3 linked regions of the Coturnix japonica genome follow. The protein of the gene in region 1 purifies or fractionates together with the protein of each later gene. This does not show direct contact. Links are inferred from orthologs where the notes say so. Each region holds a gene or a part of one and is shown in the gene's direction. Other genes may lie near its edges.

What was found.
Region 2: the proteins of TXN (region 1) and COPS5 purify together in Homo sapiens (affinity purification with western blotting; 3 studies listed by BioGRID and IntAct, with this or other methods). This does not show direct contact. The link is inferred for Coturnix japonica from reciprocal best matches to the Homo sapiens genes TXN and COPS5.
Region 3: the proteins of TXN (region 1) and AIFM1 purify together in Homo sapiens (affinity purification with mass spectrometry; 3 studies listed by BioGRID and IntAct, with this or other methods). This does not show direct contact. The link is inferred for Coturnix japonica from reciprocal best matches to the Homo sapiens genes TXN and AIFM1.

Annotation. Positions count from the first base shown.
Region 1 is NC_029547.1:59,052,566-59,056,793, reverse strand, and holds the start of TXN (thioredoxin), read left to right. Parts: upstream 1-1,423; 5' UTR 1,424-1,624; coding exon 1,625-1,648; intron 1,649-3,845; coding exon 3,846-3,950; intron 3,951-4,228. UniProt on the Homo sapiens protein: Participates in various redox reactions through the reversible oxidation of its active center dithiol to a disulfide and catalyzes dithiol-disulfide exchange reactions.
Region 2 is NC_029517.1:104,436,239-104,440,421, reverse strand, and holds the start of COPS5 (COP9 signalosome complex subunit 5), read left to right. Parts: upstream 1-1,295; 5' UTR 1,296-1,662; coding exon 1,663-1,817; intron 1,818-1,929; coding exon 1,930-2,164; intron 2,165-4,175; coding exon 4,176-4,183. UniProt on the Homo sapiens protein: Probable protease subunit of the COP9 signalosome complex (CSN), a complex involved in various cellular and developmental processes.
Region 3 is NC_029519.1:1,537,157-1,540,801, forward strand, and holds part of AIFM1 (apoptosis-inducing factor 1, mitochondrial), read left to right. Parts: intron 1-72; coding exon 73-203; intron 204-1,272; coding exon 1,273-1,363; intron 1,364-1,418; exon of another isoform or gene 1,419-1,589; intron 1,590-2,061; coding exon 2,062-2,146; intron 2,147-2,805; coding exon 2,806-2,882; intron 2,883-3,645. UniProt on the Homo sapiens protein: Functions both as NADH oxidoreductase and as regulator of apoptosis.

The DNA of each region.
Region 1 (4,228 bases):
CCAAGGGGAGTGGGCAGCTGCAGAACCCTGTGAACATCACTCATGGGATGTGCATTGGGATGGCACACAGAGGTTGTGGTGGCCCAGGGATGGTCCTGCTTCCTGCCAGCTTCCTGGAAGCACAGGGCTGATTCCTGGAAAGTACAGTATGTGGCAGTGCTCTCCCCCTCCTTTCTGTCATTGTTCAATGGCTTCTCCTCCGTCTTTCAACCAGATGTGCTCTGCCAAGTGTTCAAGAGAGGCTGGGTGATTGGGTACGTCACCAGTGAGAGCAGAGCTCTGTGTGCACTGCGCATATGGCTGGCAGACACCCAGCACACCCATCTAATTATTAAATATTTATTGCACCTTTAATGGGTCAGTTACAACAGAAGAGTGCTCCCAAGGAGCAGGCTGCAAGGAACGGGAAAGCACCATTAAAGACTGTCAGGGCCAGATGAAATGCAGCGTGGTAATGCACTGCAGATAACCCGTCTCTCCTGCGATAAAACGTGGTGCAGCTGTTGCTGCAGGCAGTTCTTCCAGCAGCTTCCTCCCTTTGGCAGCTGTCTGCACCATTGCTTAATGCCGGACGTGCCCAGCCCTCTGTGACATGGCCAGGCTTGGATCTGCTGTGAAACTGGCCCTTCTGCTGCACTGTGTGATTCTCACTGTATCCTCTGGTCACAAAGTCCAGCGCCACTTAGACACTGTATAATGCCTTGGGAGAACTGCTGGCTGACGGGCCAGGACTGGAGGGTTGTATTAATGGGGTTACATGGCAGATTGTCACCAGTGGGGTCCTGCATTGGCTCCATTTAAGGTCCAGTCTCTTCAGTGGGTTATCGGGGAGCTGAGTGCACACTGATTGTCCTCTGATGGTGCTGAACTAGGGGAAGCCGTTGGTTCCCATGCAGGAACTGGATGATCTTTGGGGTCTCTTACAAGCCAAGGGGGCTGGGAATAAAAGGAAAAGGAAGATATGGAGCATGGGCAGACAGGGGACAGACACACGGACATGGGGACAGGCAGACACGTGGCACGGCCAGCACACAGCCCGTGTCGCAGCACATGGGTGCTGGAGGCAGAAAAAAAACCCAGTTTTAAAACGATTTTAAAACAGAATCGAGAAATAAAACAGGAGGAGTCCCCCCATACGGGTTCCCACCCCCTCCCCTCCTCCAGGGCAGGATCCTGCCCGCCACTTCCTGCTCGGCGTTACGCAGCACTTTTTCTTACAGTCACACGGTTGGTTTTTTTTTTCTTTCTTTTTTTTTTTTTTTTTTTTTTTTATTTCTTTTTTTCCCCCTATTTTCCCTCCTCTCCCCCCTCTCGCTGCTCCCCCCAACCCCCGCCCTGTGAAAGAACTATAACGGCCGCTCCCCTTCCCGCCTCGTGACGTCACCCGCGCCATGGGCGGGAAGGGGCGTGGCCCGGCGATGGGCTGAGCGCTCAGTGCGCATGCGCGATGCAGCGGTGGCTATATAAGGGCAGGCCCGGGGCGGCGGCGGCAGAGCGTTGGTTTGGCGTTGCGGAGTGAGGACCGGTATAGACACAGCCGAGAGCGCAGCGGCGTGCGGGACGCGCGTGCGCGGGGACGAGCCCGTTGTCCGCCTTGTGACCGTACAGCACAGTGAGAGCCGCCATGGTGAAGAGCGTGGGCAGCCTGGTGAGTGCATGGGGCGGCACGGTGGGGTGTGGGTGAGGGGGGCTTGGTGTCGGCGCCGGGCCTTGGGCCGCGCTCCTTTGTGTGCGCTGAGCCTGAGGCCGCTCCCCAATGGCGGCTGCGCTCCGGCCGCAGGGGGCACTGCGGGAGCGGGTTAAACTGCAACACGTCGCCCTGACCCTTGGCTGTCAGCTGATGGCCGCGATCACAGAATGACCCGGGTTGGGAGGGACCTCAAGGATCATGTAGTTCCAACCCCCCTGCCTGGCAGGGCCACCAAACATACGCCTTTACTAGATCAGGTTGCCGGATCAGCACGGCCCAAGGGCGGCTCGGTGGGTGTCAGACATCGTGCTTATAGCTGGGGTCTTGTATTAAGGCTGTCCCAGCTATGCTGAGGGCGGTGGATTTCTTACGGCGTTGGTTGGTGGCCTCCATTTTGGGTTGCTGGGAATCCCTGCTGCATTGAACCTCTCCTTGCCACCTGTTTTCTCGCAGCCGGCCCTTGGAAACTGAAATCTGCTAACATAATGCTGCCTGCTGCGCCCAGCAAAGTGAGGCCGAGGCCTCAGGGAGGCACCAGATGGGTATTTGAAAAGTGTTTATGGGCTTTTCCCCTCCAGAGGACTAAGGAAAATATTGCTGAAAAAGCTGTGAGATCCTCTAACAGCTGTAGCCACGTGGACTAACAGGGGGAGGTGTCCATTCTGATAATGGAGATATTTCTGTATGAATCTTATTAATCCATACTTACTGCAGAAAGACTAGAAGTCAGAAAGGTCAGCCAGTTTTCCTGCTGTATTCCTTACTTCAGGGATATTAATGTTTTCTGAGGAAAAAATACCAACACTTACCCCTTGCTGGGTATCTCAGGGGTAACACCGTTGGACCTCGTGTCTCTTCTCAGGCTGCCTGTAGCAATTTTAGCTAATTCTAGGGATGACTCACAGGGTAACGCCTGGCTGCAGCTGGAGAGCAGTGCTCAGATCTCCAGTGGTGTATGGGTTGTGATCTGCAGGAAGTGCCATGTCCTCCCACTTTGCCCTTGTTCTGTGCAATATTGCCCTGAGATGTGTGGTCATATGATCAGCGCGTCCCAGGGATGGCCTTCCTCATGCAGGGTACAGCAATCAGTCATTTGGACTGAGGAAAATAGTCCAATTGGTGGGTGCAGGAGGTAGAATTAATATTAATAAGGCTGTTACAGCACTAAGTTGTGAGAATATATGCCAGAAATCAGGGATTTGGAGGTGGGAGTGAGTGAGGCTCTATTTAACAGCCTTATGGTTTTAAGTAACCACTGGGAGCAGATAGCATGGACTACTGTGTATGTGAACGCTGAACTTTGCTGGAGGCAGTGTTGTGCTTTAGAGACTGGGATGCAGGAATACACCCCACATTAGCACAGTGGTGGAGAAGAAGAGAGAGAGGAAGAACTTCTTGCTGCCACCCTTGCCTGTGTGTTGGATCAGCATCCTCTGCTTGCTCTGCCTGAGATACTTGTTTGTTTTTTAGCATGCAAATATTTCTTTCCTTCAGTGCCTTACACTTCTGTTGAAACATTTGCTCTTTGAAAACAGCGGCACATAAGGAGCTCTGAAATGCAAAGCGTGATGTCCAGAAATGTCTCTTGTAACAAAGTGCAACAGAGATATCTCTGTTAACCTTAAATGTTAGTTGTTACTGGCATAGACTGTGTAGCTTTGCATTGAGTACTGGAGTTACACCCCAATTTACTTGGCATAATAAAATATTTATATGATGAAGCTGTTGCTCTAGGAAACATGCTGTAGGGTAAACCACGCAACATCTTGATTCTAACCATTGCTTGGGAAAGGTATCAGACCATGAAACTGTGGAAGTTTGTCCTCAGATTCTGAGGAATCCTAGAAGAAAATGGACGACATCCTATTAAATTGGAGATTAGAACTGAATGCTAAGGACCGTCAGGATCACGTTAGAAGTGTAACATTACTCAGTTTAGCTTACGGTCTCAGTTCATGCTGAGTTCTACATAAACTTCCACAGTTCAGTGACTGAGCATTGTGATGTTTCATAATTGATACTCATAATTCATCAGAAGACAGTGGGGGATGCAGTGCTGATGGAGCTAAGGGAAAGCTGACTTGGGGGTTAGTCTTGAACCTTTTGCAAATGAGGGGGGAAATCCTTAATGTTTTGATTTCTTTTTTCTTTACAGTCCGAATTTGAGGCAGAACTGAAAGCTGCTGGTGAGAAGCTTATAGTAGTTGATTTCTCTGCCACATGGTGTGGACCATGCAAAATGATCAAGCCATTTTTCCATGTAAGTAGCTTTTGTCTTTCACAGTAACTTTAAGTATATAGAAATACTTCTGTGCAACTTCTAATATGGTGGAAACCTTCTTTGTCTATGGTGTGTTTTCCTGAAGGAGGAATCTTAGAAGGATATGATAGGTAACTATTGAATAAAGCACTTGGATACACAGCGGGGAACTAACACACTGTAGCGTTTTGTCTGTCCTGGTGTGCTGATGCATCAGTCTGTAGGGACCTAGCTGGTGCATTTCCACAAGAACTGGCAACAGTGGAGTTGAAATAATG
Region 2 (4,183 bases), on another chromosome or scaffold:
TAACAGATCAAAGGTATCTATAAGATGGTAAGATTTCAGGCACCGATGTGTTTCGTTGAGCCTATTAAGTTACATAAGAATAATAAAATGCCTGTTCTGAGTGAATAACCTGTCATGGTGATCAACTTAAAGAATTGGTGGCATCAGCTACACAGTGCAGCACCCACAGCAGGGAAAATCCCTGCATGAAGGACTGCAAGTTTCATCAGACAAGAGAAAATGGCTTATTATACTGCTGCCCAGATTTACCTGTCAACATAAAAAACTTAAGTGCTACATAAAACAGTACGATGTTGGCTTAGCAATGTGTCAGAACGAATGGTGTGAATGACCAGACCCTTGCAATCATTCCTATTGATGGCAGCAGGTTCTAAACCAGGCTTGCTTAATCGCATACTGCAGGCAATGCAAAGCACAGAGAAAAAGCCATGCTCAAATGCCAGAGATACAGACGCTGGACCTACACCCAAACACAATTAATAATGCATGTCTCCATTCTCGAGACATTCAAACCACCTATTTGTATACACGGTCAGTATATTGGAAAGAGCATCATACATCTCTTTCATTACCTCGGGGAACATTCAGTGCATTCCTTTTTACCCTTTCCCTTGTATTTCTTCAAGGAAGCAATGCATAGGATCTAAAATCAGCACTTGTGATCAGACACGCTATATGCTGTGCTATCATAATTCTAAATATCCAGAAAACTTGGCAGATGGCAATTTTCCTCCACGGAGACTGTAGCAGGGGTGGCAGGGGAGTGAAGTGCTTCAAGAAGCTCCTACACGCCACGTTCAGTAACTGCACTTACAGGCACGCCCACAATTAACTAAAACAGTATGACTTTTCCTAACTGTGAAGGCAGCCATCCATCAAAACACCAAGCCAATGAGTTCTGAGTCATCTCCTCTCACCCTAAGACTTCATTTAGGATTCCAGTCCACCTCCTCTGACCCAAAACCTAATTAATCTGAGGAATCCCTCAGGGACGGCTCACATTTATTTCCCCATAAGCGAACCCCCTCCGCCTCCTCAGACTGCTCCCGGAGCGGGGCGGGGCGGAGGCCCGGCCCCTCACAGCAGCGTTACTCCGTTGTTAGGCAACGGCCGTGCAACAAGCGGCTCCCGCACAACGCCCCACCGCCCCCACCGGGCACACAGGGCACACAGAGGCCAGGCCAGGCCAGGCCAGGCCCCGTTCCCCCGTTCCCCCGTTCCCCGCTCCCCGCACCGCCTGCCGGGCCCATCCCGTTCCCCGCCGCTCAGCCCCGCGGAAGACAGCGAGGCCGCCCGCTCGCAGCCCGGGGCGGACGCTCGACCTCCGCTCTGCGGAGCCGGGAATGGGGCAAAACGGAGCGAGGCAGCACCGAGCGCTGACCCGCCCGCACCGCCGCTCACCGGCACACACAGCCCCGTCCGCCTCCCGCGCCGGTCGCCACCTCCCCGGAAGCCGGCGGGCGGCTTTCTGCCGTCCCGGAGCTCATTCTCGCTAGCGCCGCCTGTCGCCGCGGAGGACCCGGCCCGGCCGCTTGGCCTCCACCTCCCGGCTTCCCCGGGCCTGCGCGGACCGCAGCAGCTCCCCGTTCCGCCCGGCGAGTCGCGGCCTGGCTCGGGCCGCTGCGGCTGCGGAGGGGTTGGGCGGAGCGGGCGCGGGGCGCGATGGCGGCGGCGAGCGGCTCGTCCGGGAGCGGGATGGCGCAGAAGACGTGGGAGCTGGCCAACAACATGCAGGAGGCGCAGAGCATCGACGAGATCTACAAGTACGACCGCAAGCAGCAGCAGGAGATCCTGGCGGCCAAACCCTGGACTAAGGAGTGAGAGCGGGGCCGTGGGGCGGGCGGGAGAGCGGGCGGCGGGGCCGGGGGTTGAGGCGAGGCGAGGCGAGGAGAGGCCCTGAGCGCTAAATCGGCCTCTGTCCCGCCGCAGCCACCATTACTTCAAGTACTGCAAGATCTCGGCGCTGGCCCTGCTGAAGATGGTGATGCACGCCCGCTCGGGGGGCAACCTGGAGGTGATGGGGCTGATGCTGGGCAAGGTGGACGGGGAGACCATGATCATCATGGACAGCTTCGCTCTGCCGGTGGAGGGCACCGAGACCCGCGTCAACGCGCAGGCGGCCGCCTACGAGTACATGGCCGCCTACATCGAGAACGCCAAGCAGGTATGCTGCGGTGGGGGGGATATGGCGTTGCTCTTAACTTCTTGCTTTTGGAAGTCTTAAGTCTGAAAGTGCAGTAAAATTCTCAATTGCGGAGGGAGGGTGGTCCTCCCTCTCTGCCCCAGTAATGCCACAGCTGAAGTATTCTGTCCAGTTCTGGGCTCCTCCGTTCAAGAAAGACAGGGAGCTTCTGGAGAGAGTCCTGCAGAGCGCCACTAAGATATGAGGGTTCTGGAGCATCTCCTGCATGAGGAAAGGCTGAGAGAGCTGGGACTGTTCAGCCTGGAGAAGGCTGAGGGATCTCATTACTGTTTATAAATATCTAAAGTGTAGGAGTCAAGTGGACACAGCCAGACTCCTTTCAGTGGTATGCAGCAACAGAATAAGAAGCAACAAAACAAATCTGCAACACAGGAAGTTCCATACAAACAGAAGGAAGAACTTTATCATCAGAGTGATGGTGCCCTGGAACAAGCTGCCCAGAGGGGTTGTGGAATCTCCTCTGAAGATATTCAGAACCTGCTTGATGTTTTCCTCTGACCCACTATAGGCAATCTGCTTTTAGCAGAGGGGTTGGGCTAGATGGTTATCCCCAGAAGTCCCTTCCAATCCATACAACTATGTGATTCTGTGAAATATTAATCTGCTCTGTGGCTGATGCAGAAGCTGACATGGCATATGAGCACTTGCTGGCTCAAATAAGCACTGGAATCCCTCAGACTGTCCAAGCTCAAATAGTTTGAGGCCTAGTTTACCCTTTGATTTGTCATTAATCCTTAAAGTATTTTAACTCAGCTGAAATTAGAGGGTCCTTACATAGTGTAGATAAAGGTACAACTATTTAGGTTATTTTGGAGAGGTGTCACAGCTTTCTGTGGGTTTAAGGACATTTAACTAAATTAGGTTGGATCGTGACTTCAGAAGAGAGTAAATACAGCCCAAAGGTAAGGATGTTCTAAGGCCTGTGGTGGGTTTTTTTGTTGTTTTTCGTTAACTTATCACGCTTCTTTATGAGAAAATTTCTAAGTGATCTATTTAACGTATTACTTTAATATATTATTACTTATATTATTATTACTTTAATATATTATTAAAGTAATGATTTATTGTATTCTTACTGAAAAGTATAGAAAATGAAAGGGTGTTTATATCTGAAGATACGTTTGTACTACCCAGTTCTTAGGTAGAAAAATTGTCTTAAGTATAGAGCATGGCATCGGTATTTACATGTACGGTTAGTTCATTTGACTTTTAGAACAGCCCAGGTTTATATGGGAGAATTCATGATACGAAAATAAAGCAAAAACAATAACTCAGCTTTACTGGAGCTCTGACAGTGCGTCCTGGCTGCTTCACATCTGAGGTTGGAAAGCACTTTGTCCTGGAGTAACTCTTTTTAATGTTAGATTACATGTTGATAATAAGAGCACTCTGCATAAGTGCTCTACAGAAGCTAATGTTGCAATTACTTGCTCCTCCATAGGCAGGATCTGATGATAAAATAGTTAAAAGAAAAATGTTATTTGTTTCAACGACTCAAATGTTCAGTTGGGTAGATCGTGTGTTCTGTCCCTCTTAATAGTTTCCAGATTTAACCTTCCTGGTATGCTCAGTATTTGGCAAAACCAAGCAGCTGAATGCATTGAACACACTGCCATGTAGGATGTACATAAATCCTTTCACTCAATATTGATCAGCCAGTACACAGTTCTTGGCCAGTTACAATAAACTAGGTGCGCTGGCTGTTTATTCACCGTGATTAACAATCAATTTTGATTGGTTTTGTTTGTTTGTTTGGGGTACTTGCTGAGATATCCCGGAGTATTATTTGGGAACTTCTTTTATAGTTAAGCAAAATAAAGTGCATGTTGAATATTTCAAGTTAGCATACAGGCTGTGTATATTCTTTTTATCCTCTTGCTGCGTTGTAGTGTGCTGGAAGGCTCAGTAGAGGGCAGCCCATGCTTTACGAATGAGGATCATCACTGGATTTGTTTTCCTTCACTGCTGTTAGGTTGGTCG
Region 3 (3,645 bases), on another chromosome or scaffold:
AGAGCCTATGTAATGTTTCTATGTTTGCCAGCACTGGTGTAGCTGACATGTCTGATGACTGCTTGTTTAAAGGTACTGATTGTGTCTGAAGATCCTGCACTGCCCTACATGCGTCCACCTCTCTCCAAAGAGCTGTGGTTTTCAGATGATCCTCACGTGACAGAAACTCTACGGTTCAAACAGTGGAATGGCAAAGAAAGGAGGTATGTGTCACTTGGGCAGGAAAGACAAAGAAGAGGGTCTATAAAGAAGCTGCTGATGATTAAAGTAGTCTTATGAGAGAACCACTGGAGAGCCCTGAAATGCTCAGAAGGCAGATCACCAGGTAGCACTGTGTTTGTGCTGAAGGCCCTGGGTGTGTGTGTATTTGTGTGTATTGTTGGTTGACTAATCCAAAAAGGAACAGAGCATTGCATGCTGTGGGCAGAATTTGTGTGGTGTTTGCACTGGGCCAGGTGACTACATTGTGCAGTTCAAAAAGCTGCAGATTCATGGAGTGTGGGTTTGCAGAGCTGTTACAGACGTGTCAGTCAAGCAACAGATCAGGCTGTAAGGCATGGTAGTTGTCAAGAAGAGTGCAGCTTAATATAAGTTAGCTCAATACTAAATTGAATTTGAGACTTGTGATTCCCTTAGATGTATGTGTAATGCTATAACACGATGGAAAGTACGATAATAATAGAGGGGCAAAATACTTTGACCAAAGCAAATGAGGATAAGCCCAAGTGCAGCAGTATAGAAACAAGGGGAAAAAACGTGCTTACCTTTAGAAGGTCTCCAGCATGCAGGGAACTCCAACAAGAGATGCCCTTACTTCCACTGCCAACCCTTAAATGAGGGCTGGGAAGAGGCATATCCTGACTCCATCCCTTTCATCCCTCAGATACACTGCATGCACCTGAGCTCCTCTGGGCTGGCCCTGCCTTCCCACCAGGTGTTCAATCACTGCTTCAAGCTCAACAGTGTTTTTGCTACAATATGCCACTAGTAGGAGAAATCCCGTGAAATAAGTTAATTGTAGAGGTGAGGATGGAGCCTTGCAGTTCAGAATGGAGCTCCTGGAACCTTGGATCCCACCGGATCCCTTTGGTATTCGTGACTGTATCTCTTTCTGATCTAAACACTAGAATGTAACAATGTGCAGCAACTAGTTCTTTGCTGTTTCTGAGGCTTGTTGTGGTTGCACACAGTTGTTTTCATGTCATTGGTGATTCCTGTATAGCTGGTACCAAAGAGTAACTGGAACACATCTGCTAATTGATCTCTTCCCAGTATATATTTCCAGCCACCGTCATTCTATGTGCAGGCTCGTGATTTGCCTTTTGTAGAGAATGGTGGAGTAGCAGTTCTCAGTGGCAAGAAGGTGAGTACTACATGTCTCGCTGTCGTTCTAATGTCATACAGTTCTTCCCAAGCAGAGCCTGTGTCTGAGCTGGAAATAAACAGCTGTAGATGGTGTTGTGGAGGTTGGCTGAGGAGAAGAATGTGGACAGTTTTCAGAAACGTGTATACAGTGAATCAGGGACTACCCTAATATTAAGGACAGCATGTGTGAAAGCAGGAGAAGCTATGAGGAGTAGTAGCTAAAGGTAAGAAGACAGTTTGTGTGTGGGATAAGAATATGTAGAGCTTAAAGACTGTGTGGCAAAATGGGAACTGAGCTGCATATGAGTTGGAAGGTGAGGTGAGTAGAATATCATCAAAGTAGTGGACTGCAGCATAAGTAAGAGCAGAGTACAGAGGCAGCAGAAAGGTGGAAAAGAGTTTATGGTTTCCTCAGTTCTTTATATCTTGCTAAAACAAAGAATGTAGTCTTCTCACTGCTGAATTGTTTCTTACATTCATATCCTGCGGTGATCAGTCCAATCTGTCATTGCTACCAAAAGAAACTGAATTCCTATTGCCAGTTCCCCCCTCCCTGAAAAATTACAGAGCATTTCAAAGGTGTGAAAATGGTGCTTCCAAGTATTCTTCTCTATTTGGTAGTCTGTGCAATCTGACTCAAGTAGGTGTCCTACAATGAGTGGAAGCCTGAGCTGCCCTGCTTGGTTTTCTTTGCAGGTTGTGCATATGGATGTGAGAGGCAACACTGTGAAACTCAATGATGGCACGCAGATATCCTATGATAAATGTCTAATTGCGACTGGTGAGACTTTTGTTCTGATCTCCTGTTCTTCATGTTGTGTCGGGCTTTTGATTTCAGTGGCATTAAGTGACAAGCTTCTGCCATGTGGCAGAGCAGTCACACGAAGGGCAATAATACAGACAAACGTGGTGGCGCTGGGTTTTTTACTTGCTTTGCATAAGCCAGCTTCTCTGGGACATTCAGAGTTTTACCCTGTGAAAAGCAGCAGGGAAGGAGGAAAAGGTGACTGCCCCAGCAGCTGGGTAAAGGCACTCCTCTATAGTCTGGGGTTTTCAAATCCTGCCTTTAGCAGCAGTAAGGAGAACACCCAGCTCTTAGCTTGGTAGAGCACCACTGCAGCATCCAGCACTAGCGGTTACATCCTTGTGTAGTTAATTTGGAACTGACTCTGCAGTCAGTGGAGCAAGGTGCATGGCATTAGGTTGATTGTGGGGGGTGTTTCTGTTGGCTTGTTTTAACTCAGACTGCAGACTTGTCCACTGCTTGCACTGAAGGTCTTCCATGGTGGAAACCAGAGGGCAAAAGAGAATAGAGCATACTGTAACAGCTTGAAAAGCTCAGTCCAGATGGGTGGTGGCTCTGCATTGCTGACATGGCCAGCAGTCACAAACATTTCTCTCTCCCTGTCTTCCCCCTCCTCCCTTCCACCCTGTCCTCAGGTGGTTCCCCAAGGAACCTGCCCGCCATCGAAAGGGCAGGAAAAGATGTACAACAACGGCTGACGCTGTTCCGAAAGGTAATCTACAGGCACTGCTAGACCTGGGGTGAGGCTGAGCTCATCAGAAACACTGCCAGCATTTTCAGCTTGTTAACTCTTCTGCATTGGGTCCAGGACAGCCTTGCCTTGACTACCAGCTCCCCTCAGCTGGTAACCAGGGATCCATTTGCTGTTTATTCTTTTCCCTGAGCAGGTGAATGGGATAAAGCCTGACCTCGCCCTCCCCCTTAGCCTGAAACATTCCTATCATAGACTGAAGTTTTAGCTGAGTGTTTGTGTTAGCTCTTGGGTTAGCTTAGGTAGTTTAGATACTCTAATGTCTTCTTCATGGCATTTCTTCACCTTCATCCTGCGCCTTAGGGGAAAGTGGGTGAAAGAATTGAAGTTAGTTGGCAGACTCCTAGTTTTTGTTGGAGGGATGCTTTTTGTTGACAAGCTCCACGTGTCTTGTAGGGTTTACAACAGACAGGGAGTTTCTTCCTTAGTCTGGTTCAGGGAATTAATTGAGGACAAGGAGCCCTGTGGGAATGTCGTGCCCTGCACTGGACTTGCCTTGGTCCAGTCACTGTCAGGTCTGCTGTGATCGGCTCAGCTGTGTAAGGGATGTGTAACAGAAATGTAATGGGGGACGTGGTGTTCTTACAGTACTGTGTGTGCTGTAACCTGGAGATTTCATTGCAATTTCCTCTTGACGTGTGGGAGAAAATGCTGAGATTGTGCAAGTTTTTCCCCATCACCAAACACTAGGAAGCCAGACAGTTTGGGTTTTCTCTTTCCTGTT